Linked DNA regions of Oreochromis niloticus. Each later gene encodes a partner of the first gene's protein in a complex. Links are inferred from orthologs where the notes say so. Each region holds a gene or a part of one and is shown in the gene's direction. Other genes may lie near its edges.

Region 1 (11,385 bases):
TTAGATAAAACAAGAAAACAAAACAAAAAATGTTTCTCTCTCTTCATAGGTTAGATTTTAAATCCTGATTTGTATCAGCTACCAGTTAACCTATATTAGTAGCTCCAGATTAATCTAAGTTTCTTTTAGTTGTTGTTGTAACTCTCCCAATAACACTCCAATGAGTTATCAATACAACTCCAACAGAATGAATTTGATTGCTGAAGATGAAATCGACTGTTCACAATCGACTGTTACAAGAAAATCCTTTGAATTCACAATCCAGTGTGTAATCAGTTCATGGTTGAAGTCCTCTGCATGCTGCAGTAACAGAAAATATTGTCAAGGCGTGCTGTGTGGTAGGTGGAGAGCAGACCCAAAATGCAGGAACCCTCGGAGAAAAGTCAACTCAAAGTGCAGCTTTATTAGCTAGAACTAGCAATCTTAACATAAACATAAGCTGAGCACACAACATGGAAGAGTACAAAGACACCATGAAGACCAGAGGGAAGTGAGGACTTTAAATAAACCAGAGATGGGGACTTTCATTACTTCTATGAAATATACTTTTGCACGCTAAAGAACAGAAAATTAATCTCAGTCTTTATTCTTTTAACTGTTGCTTCTGAGAAGGAATCCATACCTGTGAATTCATATTCTTTATCAAATTGGCCCAAATGTGCTGACTACACCGTAAAAAATCAAACTTGCAATTGCTGAGCTTAGTCATTTCTTTCACAATTCAACAATAAAAGCTGAGTTGCCCCATAAACTCAAATACATTAGGGTTCCAACTAATCCTTTAACGTTTTGGAGCAAAAGTTGGTCTCAGATGAAATTTATTGCTGGCAAAATGAATGAATTCAAGCTTTACATGAGTTTAAGGTGTTGGCGCCTTTCTATGCCTGAGCACGCATGCGCATCTCATAGTTTTGGATACTACGGGGTCTACATTGCACTTTTGCAAGGACTGAGAGCCACCTGGCCGTTTCCCTTAATGCAAACACGAGGCTTTACCAGGAGCTGGATGCAGCTAAGGTGTTCATCTTAACTTTCTTAAGGCAAGTAATGTTTCTTTTATTGTGTATTTATATGTGTTTACTACATCATTTAAGATCCCCCCTAGACTGTTTTACTCAATCGTGCTGCTTGAATGCCCTCGTGAGCAACTTGAATGTTTTCCATCATAAAATAGTGCTTTAAAGTTTTGGTATAAAAATCGCCATGTCACAAAACAATGAAAATCCGACAAACATCCCTACCAAACAGGCGCGCCCATGTTTGACAAGCCTCGCGACACCCCCTACGTGTATTTCATGAAGTGCAGGCTGTGGCCGCCATACTACCGAAAAAAAAATTCGGGGGCGCCCTCTGCCATGTCGTTTAATTTGTTCAAATCACATTTAGCCAATAAAATATGTGGTTTAGTTTCTGTGTGAACGGGGTGGTGGAGTCCTCACGCCCAGCGAGCTCCACCAAACACAAACAGGAGGGAGAGGAAAATCAGAGAAGCAGCTACAGAGCACAAGCAGCATAGCAGTAAATATGGGGTTATTTTAAATACGAAGGCTGACTAGAGTCTGCAAGAGTCATATCGAACAGACTTTAACCCTCTGGGGTCGACGGACGCGCCGGCTCGTCAAAACCACATGACCAATTTAAAATGACACAGCTAAAAGATGCAGCGACTCAGTCTCCATTTCAACTTGGGACGAAAGTGCGGACTTCAAACTATACACCAGTTTTTGAATTGTGTCGACAGGCCACGTAAAACCAGAGTTATGATAAAAAATACACGCGATGGTTTTTTTTTTTCTGAACAAAACAGTGGTGTTTACAGCGGGAAGAACGGTAAAAACGGCGTTTTCTAAGGACCGCGCTAGCAAACACTCTCCACTTGCGAGTAAAAAAAAAAAGAAAATACACCCCTTCCCTATTGGTGTTAGAGTTTACCATCTCAGCCAATCAAAAAAATGATATGGCAACATGTGGCACTTGGTTGTTTAGGGAGAAAGGGAAGTTTTAGGAGTGACACCCGCGACGGAAAGCAGGCGCGCAAAAGAAAGAGAGCGCGAGTTTTCATATGTGAGACATTAGTGACGTTTAGCGTGTTTGGAGGCTAGAGTTAGTTTGTTGTGTAGTTATTGTTTTGTATTGTGTGTGAGTTATACTGCTGAATGTCACATTTGCTCCAAAAAAGCCATCAAAGGCAGATTCCAGTGTAAACGCTGTTCCCACATGGAAAACTGGACTGATACACCTCCTGCTGTCAGACCTGCAGGGTTTAGGCCTGTGCTGTTCTCCTCTGTCTTATATTGAACACAAACTATTTTTGGACTGGCACAAATAATTTCTGTGCCTTCTTATTTGATGCAGCACAACTGATTGTTCTGTAACTAGATTTAAATGGTTATATAAAAAACGCCCGAGGCCTTGGCTGCATTTTTAGGTAAATAGTACCATATAACTTTGTTTGCAAAACTTTGGGAACTTCAGGTTCATACACATGTAACGAAAGATACTTTATTAAATATTTACTAAATTGATATAAAAATTGTTAGTTTTCAAAAAGTGTGTCCTCCTGAATGGGATTATAAGCTAACAAGCAGCGCTGTGTGTTTGGCAGATGGCAGGTCATGACGGACAGTTCAACTCTCATCCCACTTTTTGTTATAAATGTCATAAGTGTGCTACATTGGTTGTGCATCAAAATTACTTTAAAAAAAACTGACAAAACCATGAGCAATTATCTGGAATAACTAATTTTAACATCTTATTTCTTAAGGCTGTATTTTTAGCAACAACACTTAATCTGTTTTAAAAACAAAATGGTAGGTTTATAAATGAGACTGAGTCTTATTTGATTTCCTTGTTTTAGGCCTCAAACATAGTCCAGCATCGACGAACCATCAGTTTGGAAGGGTTACAGATATTTATTCGTGACGACGAGACCAAACTCTTCTTAACATGTCTGGTGAGTATGCAAATCTACTCAATCTTCAGTTTTGGTTTACAGAGACTTGTATGTACTGTTGTTAATTTTGCATAGGATACAGATCCAGTTGAGAGGGCAACCCGAGGTGTTACGGTGGGCATCCTCACTGTTCTGGAGGACTATGTGGGACCCAACTCGCAGTCCACAGTGGTCAACACTGCCATTGTTTTGGAAGAGGACATTATTCTTGATGATCTGCCAGACCTTCCCACTGCCTTTGCCTACCTGTTTGGCCTACTTTATGGGGTCAACATGGAGTTTCCCAAAGAACTCAAGTACACATTTGTTTGCTGTATGGAAACCAGATAGAAGAGTTCATATCCTGCCATCTGATGTTTTGAATCTGTTTGTTAGTGACTATCAGTCAAGATAGGTTTGATTTTCTGTCTGACAATACCACACCTTTAAAATTGGATGAGTAACATTTGTTACAAAAATTTGACCTTTTTTTTGTTTTTGGAAAAGGACTTTATTTGTGGCTAAATGTTGTCAGTATGTTAAAAATGGCTCATCTCAAAACATTGTCAGTGGTACAGTTGTGTTTGAACACAAAGTTATTTGAAAATCAAAATTGTGTAAACATTCATTAATACAACAGGGAGCACCTCATGAAAACTATAAAGGATACTTTTTCTAAACTTTAGGAAATTGATTGGCAAAACAAAAAAAATATGTTGTGTAAACTTTAGGAATTACATTGTTAAAACAATGAAAAATATATTTTGTCAACTTTAGGAAATACGTTGCCAAAACTAAAACTAATACCTTGTGTAAACTTTAGGAAATACATTGCTAAGACAATAAAATATGAGTTAAGAAAAAGCACAGTTATTAATTTTGTAAACACAAAAACATTAGTTGAAGCAACTTTTCTCCTAAACTTGAAATTATAAGTTATCCATCAGAACCTAAAAACGTAAATGCAGTGGGTTGCCTTGAGTTTTTAAGTTTTTGCAACAATTCTTTTTTTAACAGTGTATTTTATTTAGTGCCCTGTGAACTAATGCCTTTCTTCCAACAATGTCTAACAAAAACACATGAATTTAAATAAAATATCCATAAAGTAAAGTAGAAAGGATTGCTTTTGTATAATAAAACAGTAAGAATAGGAGTAAATTTTGATATATTGGTATGTCATAAAGTCATGTATTATATTAGCAATGAGTAATATTGCACTGAAGTTTATGTTATTGAGTAATAAGGGGGCAGAAACTTGGAATAATAATGTGGAAACATTACTTTATTAACTTGGTTTTCCATATTATTACGGTCTTGTTTCCACATTATTACACCACTATTATGGCATTATTATGAAGTTGTAATAGAAAGGATTACCAAAGTGTGAAGAATTATCATTGAAATCATTTTTTAAATGTGTTTTGGAGAAGTTTGTCTAAGTTTATAAGACATCTTTGAGTTTCAGGAGAGGAAAAAAAGTGGTAAACATTTAAATGCATAAAGCAAAACATATAGTTGGCCCAGAAATTGAGCTCAGCATCACACATACTGTTTCATCTTGCAAAGAAACCCTGTAATGTTTGCCAATATTCCCTTGGCTTGTCCATTTGAATAGTGCATGGAATGACATTTATAATACGCCCTTTACTCTGCTCACCTCATTATAGGTAAGGCAAGCTGTGAGGAAATGGCTTTAGATTATGAAAAACAGAGCCACAGGAATTCAGCTGAAAAGTCCAAACCTTTGGCAGTTCTCTCAGGAGAATCTACACATACAGTGCATTATTTACAGGTTAGACAGGTGGCACATTAGAGTATAAATAATGCCAAAAATTGTCAACAACATTTGCTTTAATGCTTTGTTTTCTTTTTTTCTTTCTTTTTTTAAATATACCTTCATATAACACTGGATCCCTTCTGTGCAGCCTATTCTAATACTAACTCAGCCATGGATGAGCTGCACAAGGCAATAAGGAGTCAGCAGAACTCCTATCCCAATGCAGTGTACATCATAGTTGGGGACTTTAACCATGTTGACTTAAGGTCAGTATTCACCAAATTTGAACATTATAGCAACAAGGTGGAAAAACACACTGGATAAAGCCTACAGCAACATCCAAAAAGGCTACAGAGCAACCCCTCTCGGACTAATGGTGTCAAAGGCCCCTCCCATCAGAAGGAGACACACTCCACCCACTCCAGTTCGCATACAGAGCTAACACATTAACTGAAGATGCCATTGTTACAACGCTCAGAATACTGCAGCAAGACTCTTAACAGGCACCAACAAAAGATCTCATATCACCCCAGTTTTGGCCTCCCTTCACTGGTTGCCTGTAAATTTTAGGTTTCATTTTCAAATTTTACTTCTAACCTTTAGGGCCCTACATGGTCAAGCTCCACAGTATATATATCTGACCCGCTGAAACTGCATTCATCTTCCCAAGCTCTAAGGTCATCAGGTCAACAACTGCTGATTCCACCACACACTCAATTTTAAACTCGTGGTGATCGTTCCTTTCAGGCAGTGGCACCACAGTTGTGGAATTCTCTTTCACTGTTTTTACACTGTACTGACACCACTGATTCTTTTAAAAAGCAGCTGAAGATATTTTTATATAGACAAGCATTCAACTAATTTGTTGTTTTTATGTTGTATTTTATTGTTTTACATTGTCCAGCATGTTGACTGTTACCTGAAATGCCACTTACTGACCAACAGATGGCACTCTTACAAATACCAAATCTGATTTGGTATCTGTAGTCAGACAGTGCTCGTGTCATCAGTGTCACTTTAACATTACAAAGAGTAAAAACAAGTAAAATATATTTACAATAAGCAGACCTAAGTGCCGGAAAGTTCAAACACTGAAAAGCACAAAGGCCAACTTTGTGTCATCCTCTGAATGCTTCATGACACTCTTAGACAGTTTTTATCCTTCAATGCTGATTTGACTGAGTTATGATGTGTACATGGTTTTATTTATTTACTTACTTTCACATTTACCTCGACTTACTTTGCTTCAGCCAGCTGTGTTTTTATAATCATGCAGTCATCGGACCTTTGGAACCTTTGTGAATTGGACAAAATCCAAAATAAATTCAAACTTGTGCACCCAGTTCTTTTTTTTTTAAGTCATTAAAGATGCCATAATGGGTATATGCAAACTTCTCGCCATAACTGTGATACATAAAATCAAGATTCACAGGCTGGCTGGACCCAGGCAAACTTCCCAGTAAAAGAATCTACTGCCATCATGTGGTCATTGATGTGATTACAGCTTAATTACATTTATCGCTAAAACAGTTTGAACAGTTCTTAATATAATTTTTTATTTGCTTTACTTTGTTTCTTTAGCATTGTACTTTCATTGGCAGTGGTGGTGTTTTTTTGTTTGTTTTTGTTTTGGGGGTATTCAGCGACTGAATTGTGAGCCGCTGCCATTTACGACACCAACGACAAAGCTACGACAGCACAAGCAAGAGAGCCGTAAATCGTTGTGTTTGGGGCTGGAGGAGGTCATTAGAAAGTGAGGAGTTAAATAGGGGCTGGCTGTCAGGGAGAAGAGACCCTCGGTGTAGGTGTAGCTCTCATGCTGGTGTAAGACATACATATTATTCACCAGCTCTGTATAGTATTCCAACCGCTGCGAAATGCTTCGTCTGATCCTGCGGCTCAGGCCGTCCTCCGGGCTCCGGTGTCCCCGTGCCCTCCCGGCCGGGCCTGCTGCGCTCAGCTCCCGCTCTGCTCCCGGAACCAGCTGTCTGAGACGGCTTCATTATGGAGCAGGGTCCCGAGCGGCCTCTCTGGGCTCCGGCTTCAACCACAGAGCGACTCTTCTGCGGTCTCCCCAGCTAGCAGGTGGATGTCAGTGCAAGCGCTTCTACAGCCTGCCGCCACACCAGAAGGTAACGCTACCGGAGCCGGTGTCAGGTTGCTATAGCACCCATGTTCACCGCGTTAGCTAGCATGACCTCCCTGCCTGTTACAGAGATCTGTTAAAAAACGCTTTATTAACTGGAAATCCGGCTCTTCCCTGTGTGAGGTTAGCAGGAACTGTTGTTACCTATCGTTTGAATCTCTGAACGACTAGTTTCTCCACTCCTCACTGGTCACTGAACTAAATAAAGCAGACACTGTTGTGACTGTTTGTGCTGCGGTTCTCCTGAATGACACCAATCCGTCAAACCTGACTTGTGTGCCCCAAACACGGAGGCCATAGGAAATACTGGGGCTATAAAAACGTAACACATGCCTGATGGTGCTGAGCGATACTGCAAAATTTGGTATCGATCCCGATACCAAATAAATACAGGGTTTCGTATTGCCAATCCCGATACTTGTAACCTATAAAGACAGCTTAAGTAGGGAACAGCAGTATGTTATTGTTTATGAGGTGATTTATCATAAATTTGCAAATTGTGAACAACTTTTAATGACCACTAACTGACTGAGCTTTGCCTTCCATAATAGCTGTGTTTTGTTTCCACAACAAAGTACAGCTTTCAGTTTGTCATGTATTTTGAAACAGTTTTTTTTAGACTTGGAATATAAATGTACCTTTCTCTAAAGCACTGTTATTTAAATGTGCTATAGCTTACAAATAACAAGGATGTGACAGTCACTACGAAAAGGTTCAGACACTTTTCATAGCAAATGTTTGAGGTATATTTTACTTTCTCCAAAAATAATTTATCTAACACAGTTCAGAGGGCTGAACGCTGAACTTGGACATTAGAAGTAAAGTATAGGTTGTATCACGATCTGATACCAATATCAGTGTTTGTTTCGGTACTATCGATATTTGGCTCAATCTGCGCACCTCTGAGACATTTTAACACAGTACACTGTGTGCACAGCGCACTCATTGTAAAGTTTTAAAAAGACTAGATTCATACTTTGTCACTTTCCCCAAGTGTATTGAAGTCAATTAGAGCAGGTGATTTGTGTTCTCCTCTGCTGCATTAGACAGAGGACCTGGAGGGAGCTCATGGTTAATTGGTTGTGGAACAACTTCAGGAACTGCTGAAAACATGAAACAATTATAACCTGGGAAGTCTGACAGGCTCGTCCTCCAATTTAAGTGACCTGCTGGTTTATACCTCTTCGTCAGTTGGGAGTGCTGCCTGTGGAAATTGCATGCTGTCCCCGAAATCATGAAACTGGCAGCTTCACTTTCTCCTTACAGTCTAGAGGTGTGCTCGTTAGGTTAATTGAGCGTAGGTGCAGATCTTAGGCTGTGAGCCTGAATGAAACCCTCCAGTTTTGGCTCTAAAGTGGAAGGCTTCTTAGTAGTCCTTCGACCTTTGTGTTACTCCACCAATAGCATGTCATTCATCTTTGCTGTTATATAAAAAAAAACTCAATAAAAATCAGCTGTGGTAAAGTGGATGTAGGTCATTTTATTGAGCAATGAATGAGGTGATGATGATGTAGCAACAGCAGTTACAACACCTGACTTCTGGCACTTTTTTGACTGGCCTGTTGAAAAGTTCCCAGTGAGGATACTCGAAAAGGATAATACAGATACAGTCTTTGTTTTTTGGTGTTTTTTTTTTTTAAGGTTTTAGGTTATACATTGATTTTATTCATTTGCTTGCTCTTCAGGTGGAGCTTCCTGCACTGTCGCCCACCATGCAGACAGGAACGATCGCTCGCTGGGAGAAGAAGGAGGGGGAGAAAATCAGCGAGGGTGACCTCATAGCTGAGGTTAGGAGCCGTGTGTGCCCACGCTGCCGCAAAACGTGATCGTGGCGTACATTTCTAATGTTGCCTCTGCCTTTGTAGGTAGAGACGGACAAGGCCACTGTGGGATTTGAGATGCTGGAGGAATGCTATCTGGCAAAGATCCTGGTTCCTGAAGGAACCAGAGATGTCAACGTTGGAGCCGTGATTTGCATCACAGTTGACAAGTTAGTGTGTTTGGACAGTCCAGATTCAGAGCTGAGGCCTGTTAGTTGAGTTTTTTTGTTTTTTTTCGTTTATAGTAATGGGACGAATTAATAGTTGGAAAACATTAAATGGGGAGCACTATGTTTTGATAGTGGCAAAATGCTGCTTTTATTTATTTTTTCAGTCCTTTAAGTCCTTGAGCTTTAACAAACATGATAAAAAAGACTTGAATCTTCAGAAAACCCTTACAATAAACTTTAATGCTGCTTGGTTTACGTCTACATTTGTTATGAAATGTAATGTAATGTGCTATATCAACAAAATTGCCTTTGCCACAATCAAATATGGGAGGTTAAAAGCTGACAGGGTGCCATATGGCTCGATGCAGTTGTGTCAGTTTCTACTCATTATTTGTGGATATATTTTCCCCTGCAGCCCTGACTTGGTCTCAGCCTTTAAGGATGTAACACTAGATTCGATCAAAGTAGCCGGTGCCACTCCTTCACCTGCTACCTCTGCGCCGCCTCCTCCACCTGCTGCTGCTGCGCCAGCTCCACCTGCAGCCCCTGGAAGCTCTTATCCCGCACACTTAAAGGTAAGCGAGCTCTCACATAAACAAGTCCGGTCGGAAAGCTGTAGATTTGTCATTTAGACAGCATCTGTTTACCTATGCTGTGTTCTGGTTTGATTAGGGTTGTTCAGGATCACTGTGTATCAAGGCAGAGAAGCGGGTACCAATATGGACTCTTCTGATCATGCGCCAGATTTTACTACTTTACTACAGTGTGTGGCATTAAACAGTTTCCGTGGATGTGTAGTTTCCATGTATCTGTTATATTTTTAACTTTCTCTATTTGAAGGACTTTTTTTTTTTTTTCCCCCCCTTTCTTTATTTTAAAAAAACAAAAATAATGTCGCACCACTTCATCATTTAATCAAAGAGAGGGGAAAGGCTTTAATTTGCTGGAGGCTGTGCCACAAAATTGTCCCTGCCCTTACTTCAGCTGTGAATGTCCCTGTGACATCATTCGGTCCCTTCAGGGGTCATCTTGAAGTCATTTTCTCTGGAGCTTTAACAGTGTTTGTAGTAACTTGACTAGAAGCTGAAGAGGTTGTGAGTCTTTTTCAGGTCTAGTATTGTTCACATTTGTGGGAATTTGTGTGTTACAGATCGCACTTCCTGCTCTTTCTCCAACCATGACGATGGGAACAGTGCAGCGCTGGGAGAAGAAGGTCGGAGAGAAGCTGAGCGAAGGAGATCTCTTAGCTGAGATCGAAACTGACAAGGCGACCATTGGTAAATCCAAACTGATTTGAACACATCGATCCTAAAGCGTGTCCACTTTCAGCACTACAGAGGAAAAAATAGTTATATGAGCTCACTTTTAATATAGCTTTTAATACTGACATTCACCCCGGACCTTCTGTGTGTTTGCATACAGGCTTTGAGGTGCAAGAGGAGGGGTATTTGGCTAAAATCCTGGTGGCGGAGGGAACCCGTGATGTTCCCCTGGGCACGCCGCTCTGCATCATTGTAGAGAAGGAAAGCGACATTGCCGCTTTCAAGGATTACGTTGAAACTGGGGTGGTTGAGGTTTCCACACCACCTCCACCTCCAGCACCGGTGAGACTCACAGAAAACCTGTACTTTCAAATAAGAAGTCATTTGGCTTTTGTACAGTTTTAAGATGCCTTAAGAACACTTTTTTTTTTTTTTTTTTTTTTAATATGTTGTAGGTCGCAGCTCCAGCTGCTGCATCACCCAGTCCTGCTCCAGCAGCAGCAGCTGCTGCCCCTGCAGCACCCAGGAAGGGTCGCGTGTTCGTCAGCCCGCTTGCCAAGAAACTCGCTGCTGAGAAAGGAATTGACCTGGCCCAAGTCAGCGGTACGTAGCCAGACCTATGTGATGGATGAAGAGCATTTGCTGAAGTAGTATGCAGCTTTTACATTTTAATTTTTTAATTTTAAATACTCTTTTGTTCAGGCTCTGGCCCTGATGGACGCATCACCAGGAAGGATATTGAGAACTTTGTTCCACCAAAAGCTGCACCTGTAAGGGAAACCCATACTGTTCAGTCACATTAGTGCACATCAGTCCAGTTAAATCATGTGTAACCATTCTTATTGTTTAATGTTCCTTTTCTTAATACCGATGTAATACTGACAGTCTAATCAATAGGTCCCTGTCAGTCATGCCCATTTTTCTTTTAAATGATACATTTAACTGTTGTAGCACAGTGATATATCTGTTTTGGCAAATAATCAGAATTATTAATTTATTAATTAATATCCTGCCGTAATGCTCTGTACCTCTGTTTCTGTTGTTGTATGTAATGCAAATTAAATCTCTACCTCTGCAGGCTGCTCCAGCTGCTCCTGCATTTGCACCAGCCCCTGCTGCACCAACTGGCACCTTCACAGACATCCCTATCAGCAACATCCGCAAGGTGAGCACCACCACACACCTGCCTCTTGATGGTCCATTACATTCTGTGATGACTTCCGCTGCTAGCAGTCGGTGCATTAGCGGCTCCTTCTGTGCGGGGTGCTGTGCTGGTGT
Region 2 (10,956 bases), on another chromosome or scaffold:
TACATGCCTAGGTGCAATAGCAGTTGAGTTGTTGCGATGTAATTGGCCAATTAAACATTTGTGTTAAGGAACACTTAAGTAGTCCTTATACAAAACATTATCCTGTACAGACATGTGAAAAATATGCAATAACAGATGAAGTAAGAGCGACATTAAAAACAATCACACAAACTAAAAGAATTATTCTCTCGTTCCGTTAAGATGGATTTAAACTCTCCCATGATAACCAGTTGAACTGGTATTCCTAACAAAGTGCCCAGTGACAGCACAATGTAATTGAAACTACCCTGAAATCCTGTTAAAGCTGTTTTCATTTCTGTATTCTTGTTGTTAGTTTCTCATGTCAGCTGACAAAGCTCTGCTTACAGTACTGTTAAACCAATATTATAACTCCAATTTTGTATGAAAAAAATAAATCACCATATTCATATGTTAAAGACAATGGCCAAGCTGTTTTGACCATTTTTATATATGAAATGATTACTGTTGATGTGTTGGTAGTTTTTCTAAGTCACCAAAGTCGCCTTAATAATGTCCTGCACACTGTTGAGTCAACTCAACTGAGCTAACATGGCGAACATTTTGCTTTAACCTTCATCTTGCTGTCAGTGTGACCATATGAGCATGCTGTCATTAGTGTTCACCTCGAGCAATGCTTATTCTTGGCAGCACAACTATTTTTTGTTAATAGATATCTAATAGATATAATAGAATAATAGATATCTGACATGATTTTAATATCCAGTTTTATATAAAGTTCTCAGATACATTTCCTGCCATCTTTTTCCACAGTGTGTCATCAGTTTGTACAGTTCTGGTCCCTCATTGCCTGACTCCACTCTGTGTGTGTGTGTGTGTTGTATGTTGCAGATAAGCGCTGATGGAGATGCAATATGGATCAACAGTTTTGTAGGCGTCTTGACAATCACAGGTTTGTGGCCTGTTGGCATCACATTCATACACCTGAAGAACACCCTGCGAACAATAAAGATCATCCCGAAATACGCCATGTATCAGGTAAGACACTGATCAAGCACATGTGCACACTTTTGGATAAAGACTGTTAACAGATTTGAAAGACTGTTTTGCCAGGATAACACAAGCTGCAACTACAATTAGTTCTTGTATGTTTTCATTTGTGTCGTTAGCTGCTCCTGATTCTTACCCAGCTGCAGACAGCTATTATCAACATCTTGGGCTCGAATGGCACCATCGCCTGCTCTCCACCTTTCCCCTCGTCGATCAGAGGATACAGTGAGTTTACATCCATCTATCCAGTCAGGCCAATCATCCACATATTTACAGTTCCATATATATTTGGACACTGACACAAGTTTTATTTTTGTATGTGTTTACTGAAACATATTTCGATCATAGTTAAATAACGGACTTGGACATAATGTGTAGTGAACTCAACAATGCAAAAAGACCTGGGCGTCCAGAGAAGACAACAGTGGAGGATGATCACAGAGTCAGTTTTATGGTGAAGAGAAATCACTTCACAACAGCCAACCAAGTGAACAACACTCTCCAGGATGTAGGCGCATCGATATCCAAGTGTACTATAAAGGGAAGACTGAATGAAAGTAAATACAGAGGGTTCACTGCAAGGTGCAAGCCACTCATAAGCCTCAAGAATAGAAAGGCTAGACTGGATTTTACTAGAAAACATGTAAAAAAAAAGCCGGCACAGTTCTGGAAAAACATTCTTTGGACAGATGAAACCAAGATCAACCTCTACCAGAATGATGGCAAGAAAAACGTATGGAGAATGCATGGAACAGCTCATGATCCAAAGCAAACCACATCATCTGTAATACACAGCGGGGGCAAGTGTGATGGCTTGGGCGTGCATGGCTGCCAGTGGCACTGGGGCACTAGTGTTTATTGATGATGTGACACAGGACAGAAGCAGCCGAATGAACTCTGAGGTGTTAAGAGATGTAATGTTTGCTCAAATCCAGTTAAATGCAGTAAAACTGATTGGGGGTGTTTCAAAAATACAGACAGACAATGACCCAAAACTTACAGCCAAAACAACCCAGGTGTTTATTAAAGCAAATAAGTAGAATATTCTTGAATGGCCAAGTCAGTCAGCTGATCTTAATCCAGTTGAGCATGCATTTCACTTGTTAAAGACTAAACTTCAGACAGAAAGACCCACAAACACACAGCAACTGAAAGACACTGCAGTAAAGACCTGGCAATGCATTAAAAAGGAGAAAACCCAGCATCTGGTGATGTCCATGAGCTCAAGACATCAGGCTGTCATTGCCAGCAAAACCATTAAAAACAAACACTTTATTTTCACTTATTTAATTTGTACAATTACTTTTGAGCCCCTGATATGAAGGTATTGTGTTAAAAAATACTCTAGTTCCTCACATTTTTAGGCAATCTTTTTGTTCCCCCACTGAATTAAAGCAGAAATTCTGCACTTCAACTGCATCTGAGTTGTTTCATCTAAAGGTCATTGTGGTAATTTACAGAACCAAAAAAAAAAGAAGAAAAAAGCAGTCTGTGTCCAAATATTTATGGATCCAACTGTATCATATTTAGCATGCATCAGTATCCTTATTTTTTTACCAGTAACCCTGTGACAGCTAAGCTTGTTTGTGTCCTTATTCTGCCTTCACAGTGATGAGCCAGCAGCTGCTGATCATGGAGATGTTCATCATAACGATGGTAACACGGCTGCTCTATCGACGACAGTACGATCCTTTACCTGAAGAGCAGGATGCCAATGAAAACACCAGGATGACTGACTTAACACAGTCTCCATGAGAACTAAATTGTGTTAATGTGTGTATGTATGTGTGTGTGTGTTTGTATGTTTGATTCATATTTTCTTTCAAGTATTTGATTAAGACATTGCATATATTCAAAATAACAAATATGAGTTATATGTAAATGGGTTGTGTGGCTGCTCATTAAGCTTACCGGCTGCGAGTCCGCTACACAGTTTTTATTGACAGGATACTCGGGTCATGTACAGGCATGTGAAATTAATAAGAACATCCCGTGGAAATGGACTGACTCTCATTGAAAGTCTACAATTTTTTCAAAGAAAGTAAGTGGGAATAAAAAACAAAACAGTTGGAGGAACATTTTGCAGAGTATCAGGTTAACTGGCAACAGATCAGTAACATCACTGGGAATAAAAAGAGCATCTTAGAGAGGCAGAGTTTCTCAGAAGTAAAAATTGGCAGAGGTTCGCCAATCTGCAAAAAAATCAAAAATCAGAATAATGTTCCTTAATGTAAAATTGCAAAGACTTTCAATATCTCATTATCTACAGTGCCTAATGTCATCCAATAATTTAGAGAACCTGGAGAAATCTCCATGCACAAGTGACAAGGCCAAAAATCAATATGGATGCATGTGATCTTCAGGTCTTAAAATGACACTGCATTAAAAACAGGTGTCATTCCATCATGGAAATCACTGCACAGGCTCAGGAACACTTCCAGAAATCACTGTCTGTGAATACAGTTCACTGTACTGTACACAAAAACGGATACTTATTGCACTGGCAATAGCTTGAAGAGTTAAAATACAGCTTTACTGAAGACTCAGACATTGGACTTGTTTTGTCCTAGAGCTCTCAGTGCTACATTTGACACCACATTCTCACATTTTCGAGGTCGCCTGATCTTTTTTGTGTAATAACGCTTGTATACACACTTTTTTCCCCAGAAGAACCCTTTAGTTTTCCTCCAAAACATAATCTGCAGTGAGACAGAGAACCACATCTGACTGCCAGAAAACATGTTCTTAATTAAGTGGTATCAGGGGGTTGTTTTAGGAGATGTTTTATTTTACAAATATGAGATTTTCCCATAATTTACCAGAAATTATGTAGGCTAATTTGATACCATTTGAATAATGGCTTGTGAAGTACACAAGCGAAAGAAAGCCTTTGTCTCTGGAGATTTCAATGCATGATTTCCTTATGCTTGCGAAACAGATAAAGGAAAAAAGCTGGAACAGCATCATAAATCCTCGCTGATGGATGCTGATTCTCATCTACTTGAGGTCATCGCAATGGTGCTCAGTTACAAGAAAACAACACTACAGAAAAATAAAGCAAAGCAAATATTTTTAAAAATCACCAAAGTTCAGATGAGTGAAGTATCGAGTACTGTGCAAAAGTCTTGAGCTACCGCCTCACTAACTCAAGACATGAAGCAATGTTGTATCTACACATAACAAACTTAGAAAAGAGGCTTTTTGTTACTAGCAGCCAGTTCCCAAAACATACCATTTGTTTGCATTTCTTTAGGTGATTCGATAAAAAATGTTAAACTTAACAAAGTATGACCGGCATAAAACTGTATTTTCTTCCTCCACTTGTCTAGTTTTCTCTATTTTTAGGACACACTGCCCATAGATATGCCAATTCTTCGGCTATGTACAGCAAATGAACAGTATTTAAAAGTCGTGTTCTTAAGAAACAGGAAGAAAAAAAAAGTCAAAGACCTGACACAGAACCTGAGAGATGCTTCTTCTGAGCCATCTGCTGTTGACAGAAATGGTCTAGGTGGATGTTTGGCTCTGAAGAAGCTATACTTAAATATTTCAGATTATCAAAACTGGACTTAAAATTAGTGACGGCAGGTTTTATGACAATAAATACATTTAATATTTTTCTCTTGAATCGTCGTCAATATATGTGGAAGAGGTCTGGCGAGATGGGCAACAGTGAGTGTCTTCAGCTATCTCTGTCATGATTTGGGGCTTCTCCTTCTTCCAGTACATTGGCTTATATTTCAGTGTACACGTTAAACCTATTAATCGCTTTAGTAACAAAATACAAAGAAATAGGGAGTGGCTTTAGACTTTTGTGCAGTACTGTATTTTAATATTAATTTATTATTAAAAAAATTTTGTTCATTGCATGCTGGCATTTTACGGTTTAACATCAGCGTACCTGCAATCCTCCGACTCTCTGGGTTACAAAGAGAATTGGAAATAACTAACAGGCCAGTTTAAAAGTCTTTCTAAAAAGTTGAATTAGCATTAAATTTAAAAAAGGTGATTGTTTTTTTGTTTGTTTGTTTGTTTTTTGGAAAACTATAGGTGCTCAAATAGAGTATTATTAAATGCATATAATACACATATGTATGCATGTATGTATGATATGTTGGCCTACTTTAACTATTCACATGTGGTTATTTTAAAAAGGTAATGCTCTAACAGTTCTCCGGTGTGGTGTTTGTTCTCTGGTCCAATACTGTCATTGCTCTGGGCACTGTAGATTTTTAAAATATTGTCTCACTAGGGGGCAGTAAAAACAAAAAAAAAACAGTAAGGGGCTTATTTTTTCGTTTTAAAAGAACCATAATCTGCTTACATCGTGTTAAAAATGGTGCCCAAACCTGTTCTCCACCCACAATCTTACGTTCTGTACCCCCCATTTCTAACATCTACTGCCTGCTGACTGCGCATGAACAGATAAACAGGTATGTAGACGTTAATGACGTTGACTGACAAGCCTCTGACCAATAACATTGTCGAATTTGTCGCTCCTCTCTTGGAGCCAATCACGGCTGTGAATCCACAAGCCTGCACCAAGTGCGGTTGAGTCGAAGTTTTCGAAGGTACGTGCTGTCCACAAACGTCAATGGAGATCAATTACACCGGATGTTTACAGATCAGCTCTTCAAATTAAAAGCTTTTGCCTCTACGCAGGGATACATTCAACTACACCTAAAAGTGTTTCATTTATGAATTGGTTTACGGTGTTATTATTCATTTTTAATAGGAAAAACAAAAAAAGGAAACCTGTTGCAAGACAAAAACAAACCATTTTACCTAAAAATATATTTTTTTTAATACGAACTTCATACAACCTTCAACAAGGAAATGTCCAAAGACATTTGCTTTGGGGTTACATTGATAATGTCATTGTAATTTAAAACATGAGTGATAAGTTACCCTTATAGACCATGTATACACCAGTAATTAAGTAAATTCTTTAAAAAAGCATGGTGTTTCTGTTAAGCGACAGAATTTGTGTATAAATGCAGGTCATGGGTCGGGAGGGAGACTTTAAATAATAATCCCAAGTATAAGAATATAATGTTTTATCCATTAAAATTAATAAACCATTTAAGTTGAACTCTTTATTGTCCTTGCACGCTCGTACTTTGCACAACAGTACACCAAAATTGTTGTATTGACCCACATCAGGGTTAAAGAAATACATGCAAAACACAATAGATAAATAAGGACCATATATACAGAATTAAATATATACAACGTGTGCAGAAAATGAAATATACAATATGCTAATTGATTTAATAAATATTAATAATTTTATTTGAATATTATATAAAACTAATAAATGTTGTTGCCAGGCTTTCCAATTTACCCCTCCTTGCAGCTTGCAGTGTTGCCCTATAGACGGTATAAAATATTACTAAATATACTGCGCATTCTTTCTTTATTTTGAAAAGTATGGCATGAAGTCGTCATGTCATTGCGAAGGGCTTTGGATAGCTGAGCTCATCTGAGCGTGCAGTAATGTAGATCCAGGAAGCCGTTCCTGTCGCTTCTATCCTATCCTGTAACCTTATGGAGCTGGCTCTGTCGCGTCGCTCCGTCTCCTCCGCTGTGGCCGGTGGAAATGTGGCCGCCCCTGGAAGAAACGCACCGTCCGAGCATCTGTCCGCCTTCTCCTAATTTCTTCTCACTCACATCATCGCTAAAACTTTCAATATGAGGATCTTCTGGTCTTTGCTGAAAAACAGCAACCCCAAAATCGAGTATTACTCCAGATTTTCACCGTCCCCGCTCTCCATCAAGCAGTTTTTGGATTTCGGTGAGTAAAGGCATCGCCTGGCACCTTTAGAGGACTTGAATGACTTGTAGAGGGTGGAGGCGGAGGTGGAAGGCCCTGTTGTGTGTTTTTGTCATCTCATCAGTCGCAGCTGTGGACCTGAAGAGTCACACGCTTAGCCCCGGCTCGTTATTAATAGAAGGGAACATGTTGATGCTGAAACAACATTTAGTATAATGATCTGGGAACAACACCAACACGACGATATCAGATCGTGCAACATTAGACTTTCTTACGGTCAGGTGTGTTAAACGTAGAGATCGCCTGCAGTGAAGCAGCCACATATAAACAGAGGACGGTCCTCTGTCCTGTGCGGATTTGTTTACGTTGTAAACAAGTATTGACAGGCACCCTAACGCATGCAGGTAGTCTCAGTCAGACTGGCACAGCAGCACGTATGCAGTGGAGGGGCCAGCAGCCCCGCTCCTGTTGCCAAGATGCTCAGGAAGCCTTTAGTCATTTTATTTATTTTCACTTGTGTCTTAGTGAGGTCGCTCTAGAGCACGAGTCATTGCAGATTGATGGTTTTTAAATGTGTTTCTGTTTAATATGTTTTCCCCGCCTTTGATTTCAGTTCCCCCTCTATTGCACCAAGACATGTAGAAATCCCGCCCGTCGCAATGTGTGCCACAAGACGACGGTTATTAATGGTGCAGAAGCACTCAAGGCTTTCCTTAATCCGCCTCTTGATTAAACGCTGGCATGTCTGTTGCGTAATTTGTTCTCGCAGCTGTGGATGTAGAATGCGTGACGGGAAGTGTGCCGCACTTGTTTGCATTAAGGAGAACCCCTGCTTGGCACCAAGAGAGCCAAAACATATCGGTGTCTGTGTTTCACTCTGGAGCACGTGAGACGTCATCCAGGGATAGTCGCCACAGGCTTCTTTGTTCTCACGCACAAGCTTCCTCATTCTGCGTTTCACAAGATTTCCCCCCTTTAAACTGCTGAGTCAGGTCCAGCTTTTCCCTCGTTTCCTCTTGTCTGATCATCCCAAGTTCTAACACTGGACGTCATGATCGTCTCTTCTGTGTTGAGAGTTTTGAGGTTGTCCCCAGGGCAGCACTGTCCAAACTCTAGAAGGCTCTACTTTGTTAAGTTCCCCCGCAACAGATCTAAAACACCAATCCCTCTAACGTCTCCCTGACCGCCCATCCCTCTTTCCAGGCAAATATGACCAATGATTTCCCTGCGTGAACTTTTCAAGCTAATGTTGGCACGCATGTGGATACAGCTGCAGTCAGATGGCAAAGTTTAAGATATCAGGTTAAAGGTTGGATATTGAAACCGAGCGCTCTTCTTAGATGAGTTCAGCACACTTGCTTTTTAAGCACCTTCTTATATGAAGCTTTGTCTTTCATTTGACCTTGATCCCCGTGAGCTGGGAGCCTCTCTGATTGCCGAAGCAAGCAAAGAAAAACTCTAATCACGATATTTTATTGATGGCAATAAACAGGATTGTGAAAGTGTCAGAAAACTGATATTGTTTACTCCACACTGTATTTATTGGCAAGAGAAAACTAAACTGGAAGCTCCACATATGTGGTTAGGTTTATAAGTATTTGGACAAAGACACGATTTCGATTATGTTTGCCTTTTTTACACCACCACAATGGATCAAGCAGTCAATATGGTTCAAGTCTAGACTGTCAGCTTCAATTCGAAGGGTTCTAACTGAAGTTCTGCATTAACCATCGAGGTGCAAACCACAGGTTAAGAACAGAAGGGTCAGATTAAACTTTACTGGAGTTTAATCTAGTTACTGGAGGCAAAGCTGAGGCCAGAAAGACTCACAAAGAAGCAGCAACTGAAGCATCTCAAGGGAGGAAACCCAGCATTAGGTGATCTCCAAGGGTTCTAGACTTCAGGCAGTCACTGACTGCAAAGGATTTTCATCCTAGTATTTAAAACAGTCCATATATTTCATTTTGATCATGACTTGGTAAGATGTTGTGAAGTTGTTTTCCTTAACCGTGGCAATAATTCTGCGATCATGCACTCATGATCATGGCGTTATCTGTGCCTCTCACTTCTGCTTCCCTCAGGCCGCGACAATGCATGTGAGAAAACGTCCTTCATGTTCCTGCGTAAGGAGCTGCCCGTACGGCTGGCCAACACCATGAGAGAGGTCAACCTTCTCCCCGATAAACTGCTTAGCCAGCCCTCTGTCAAACTAGTGCAAAAATGGTAAGACACTCCCTCCAGAAATGTTCTTTATACGCCTGCCAAAGGGCAGCCTTTATGGCAGCAGGACTTGTTTTAAGGTTTATTGCCATATTGTTAGTAAGCATGTGTAAAGGTTGCCTTTTGCCCTCTGTCTGTTTTATCAGGTACATGCAGAGCTTTGTGGAGTTGCTCGATTACGAGAACAGAAAGCCAGAGGACCCTCATACTCTGAACGAGTGAGTGGATGTTATCTGTATGAAAAATTAATAAGCACGCTGTATGTACAGTAAATAAAGCTTTACAACACCCAGCTGTTGTATACTTATGTCATTAAGATTAGAGTCCCTCTGGCACTGCAACTAATCCTCTTAGTGCACATAGATCTCTGCTGACTGCTCAGGTAACGCTGTATTTATACAAAAACAATGCCCGTCTGTTAAACAGCCATGTGTCACCGATAAACGCAGACAGGAATGTGGTTGGGTCTTTCTGTTTAGAGAACACATTTCCAATAATTGTCCAGGGAAAATGAAATAACAATGCAGATCCTCATTCTTGTGCTGTGTTGTGCAGAGAAATCATGGTGACATTTAAATTTCTGGCTTGTTCTTTGTGCACATATAAAACATGTTTCTTCTTTCATGTGATTTTTATTTTGGTTTGTTTTTTTTAGTTTCCTGGAGCTTTTGATTGAGATCCGCAACCGCCACAACGATGTGGTTCCCACCATGGCTCAGGGGGTCATCGAGTACAAGGAGAAGTTCGGCTTCGACCCGTTCATCAGCAGCAACGTCCAGTATTTCCTGGACCGCTTTTACACCAATCGCATCTCGTTCCGCATGCTCATCAACCAGCACAGTGAGTCTCCAAAAATCCCCCAAAACATTTATGTCGTTTAGACCATCGGATCCATCTGTGCAGCTGAAGTTTATACATCCACACGTCTGTGTTTCAGCGCTCCTTTTTGGTAACGATACCAACCCAGCACATCCCAAACACATAGGCAGCATTGATCCGAACTGCAACGTGGCAGAAGTCGTCAATGGTAAGTTTGGGAGTTATTTAATATGACCGATTTAACCTGGTTTACTAGAAAGAAAAAGATTCGTCACCCTCAATAAACATGAAGCAATCATTTTGAGTAAAATGCAGCTGAAATATATAAAATTAAAGGTTTATTTAGTCAGATCATGAGTCATTAAGGAATACTTGGTATGAACTGATTGTATACCAGTAAAGTTTTTTAGACCAGATTTCATAAAATGTTATATTTTGCACTGTAATTATGTAACAAAATGACAGGAAACTTTACATGTTATCAAATTAGAGTCAGCATGGGCATACAGTTTGTCTTGTGTGTTCATCCTCCTTTTAATGCTGTAATTCCTCATGATCATGCTCGCTCAAGTCAGAGGGAATATTTTTCTTTCTATGTTTGACTTATTTTGTTATACTGAGCAAATGTATTCATTCTTCTCACAGGAAGTGGGGGTTAGCTATGTTTTATATCACATCGGCCGCTCTCTGCAGTGACACAAATCAAACAAAAGAGTATCAATCTTTGCTGAGCGGGGTGTTTATATAATGATAGTTTTAAAGGAATTCCAGCACTGCACTTTCAGTGACTCAGGAAGGGACAGAAGATGCATTAGTGACCTGTGAACAGAAATCCGCGCCGTTCTCTGGTCTGACTTATGTTGTTTTGCCTCTTCCATCAGATGCTTACGACACTGCCAAGATGCTGTGCGAGAAGTACTACTCGGCCGCTCCTGAGCTCAAGATTGAGGAATTCAACAGTAAGAGTGCTTTTGTGCATTTATGCAGTTTAAGCAATCTCCTCTGTAATTAGTCACAGCACTGAAAAAACTACAACCCTGTGATCCGGTCTTTTTAGAGCTTTTGGGCACAGATTGGGGCCAGATTTAGTCCTGTAATGACCCACTACCTCATTT

The links.
Region 2: the proteins of dlat (region 1) and pdk3a are in contact, whole or in part, in a crystal structure (PDB 1Y8N), measured with the Homo sapiens proteins. The link is inferred for Oreochromis niloticus from reciprocal best matches to the Homo sapiens genes DLAT and PDK3. Residues at the interface, in NP_001922.2 of Homo sapiens: Ala225, Leu226, Ser227, Pro228, Thr229, Glu248, Gly249, Lys259, Ala260, Ile262, Glu265; in NP_005382.1 of Homo sapiens: Arg21, Phe22, Ser23, Pro24, Ser25, Pro26, Leu27, Phe48, Lys51, Val55, Asn373, Lys374, Ser375, Arg378.

Annotation. Positions count from the first base shown.
Region 1 is NC_031975.2:13,573,608-13,584,992, reverse strand, and holds the start of dlat (dihydrolipoyllysine-residue acetyltransferase component of pyruvate dehydrogenase complex, mitochondrial), read left to right. Parts: upstream 1-6,410; 5' UTR 6,411-6,586; coding exon 6,587-6,841; intron 6,842-8,280; exon of another isoform or gene 8,281-8,431; intron 8,432-8,540; coding exon 8,541-8,642; intron 8,643-8,720; coding exon 8,721-8,845; intron 8,846-9,260; coding exon 9,261-9,420; intron 9,421-9,995; coding exon 9,996-10,122; intron 10,123-10,267; coding exon 10,268-10,449; intron 10,450-10,562; coding exon 10,563-10,710; intron 10,711-10,809; coding exon 10,810-10,877; intron 10,878-11,185; coding exon 11,186-11,272; intron 11,273-11,385.
Region 2 is NC_031974.2:21,272,752-21,283,707, forward strand, and holds the start of pdk3a (pyruvate dehydrogenase (acetyl-transferring) kinase isozyme 3, mitochondrial), read left to right. Parts: upstream 1-6,438; 5' UTR 6,439-6,720; coding exon 6,721-6,823; intron 6,824-8,883; coding exon 8,884-9,025; intron 9,026-9,168; coding exon 9,169-9,240; intron 9,241-9,677; coding exon 9,678-9,862; intron 9,863-9,959; coding exon 9,960-10,049; intron 10,050-10,722; coding exon 10,723-10,800; intron 10,801-10,956. Other genes in the region: slc51a (organic solute transporter subunit alpha), read left to right, coding at 871-1,017, 1,149-1,254, 2,639-2,784. UniProt on the Homo sapiens protein: Inhibits pyruvate dehydrogenase activity by phosphorylation of the E1 subunit PDHA1, and thereby regulates glucose metabolism and aerobic respiration. Can also phosphorylate PDHA2.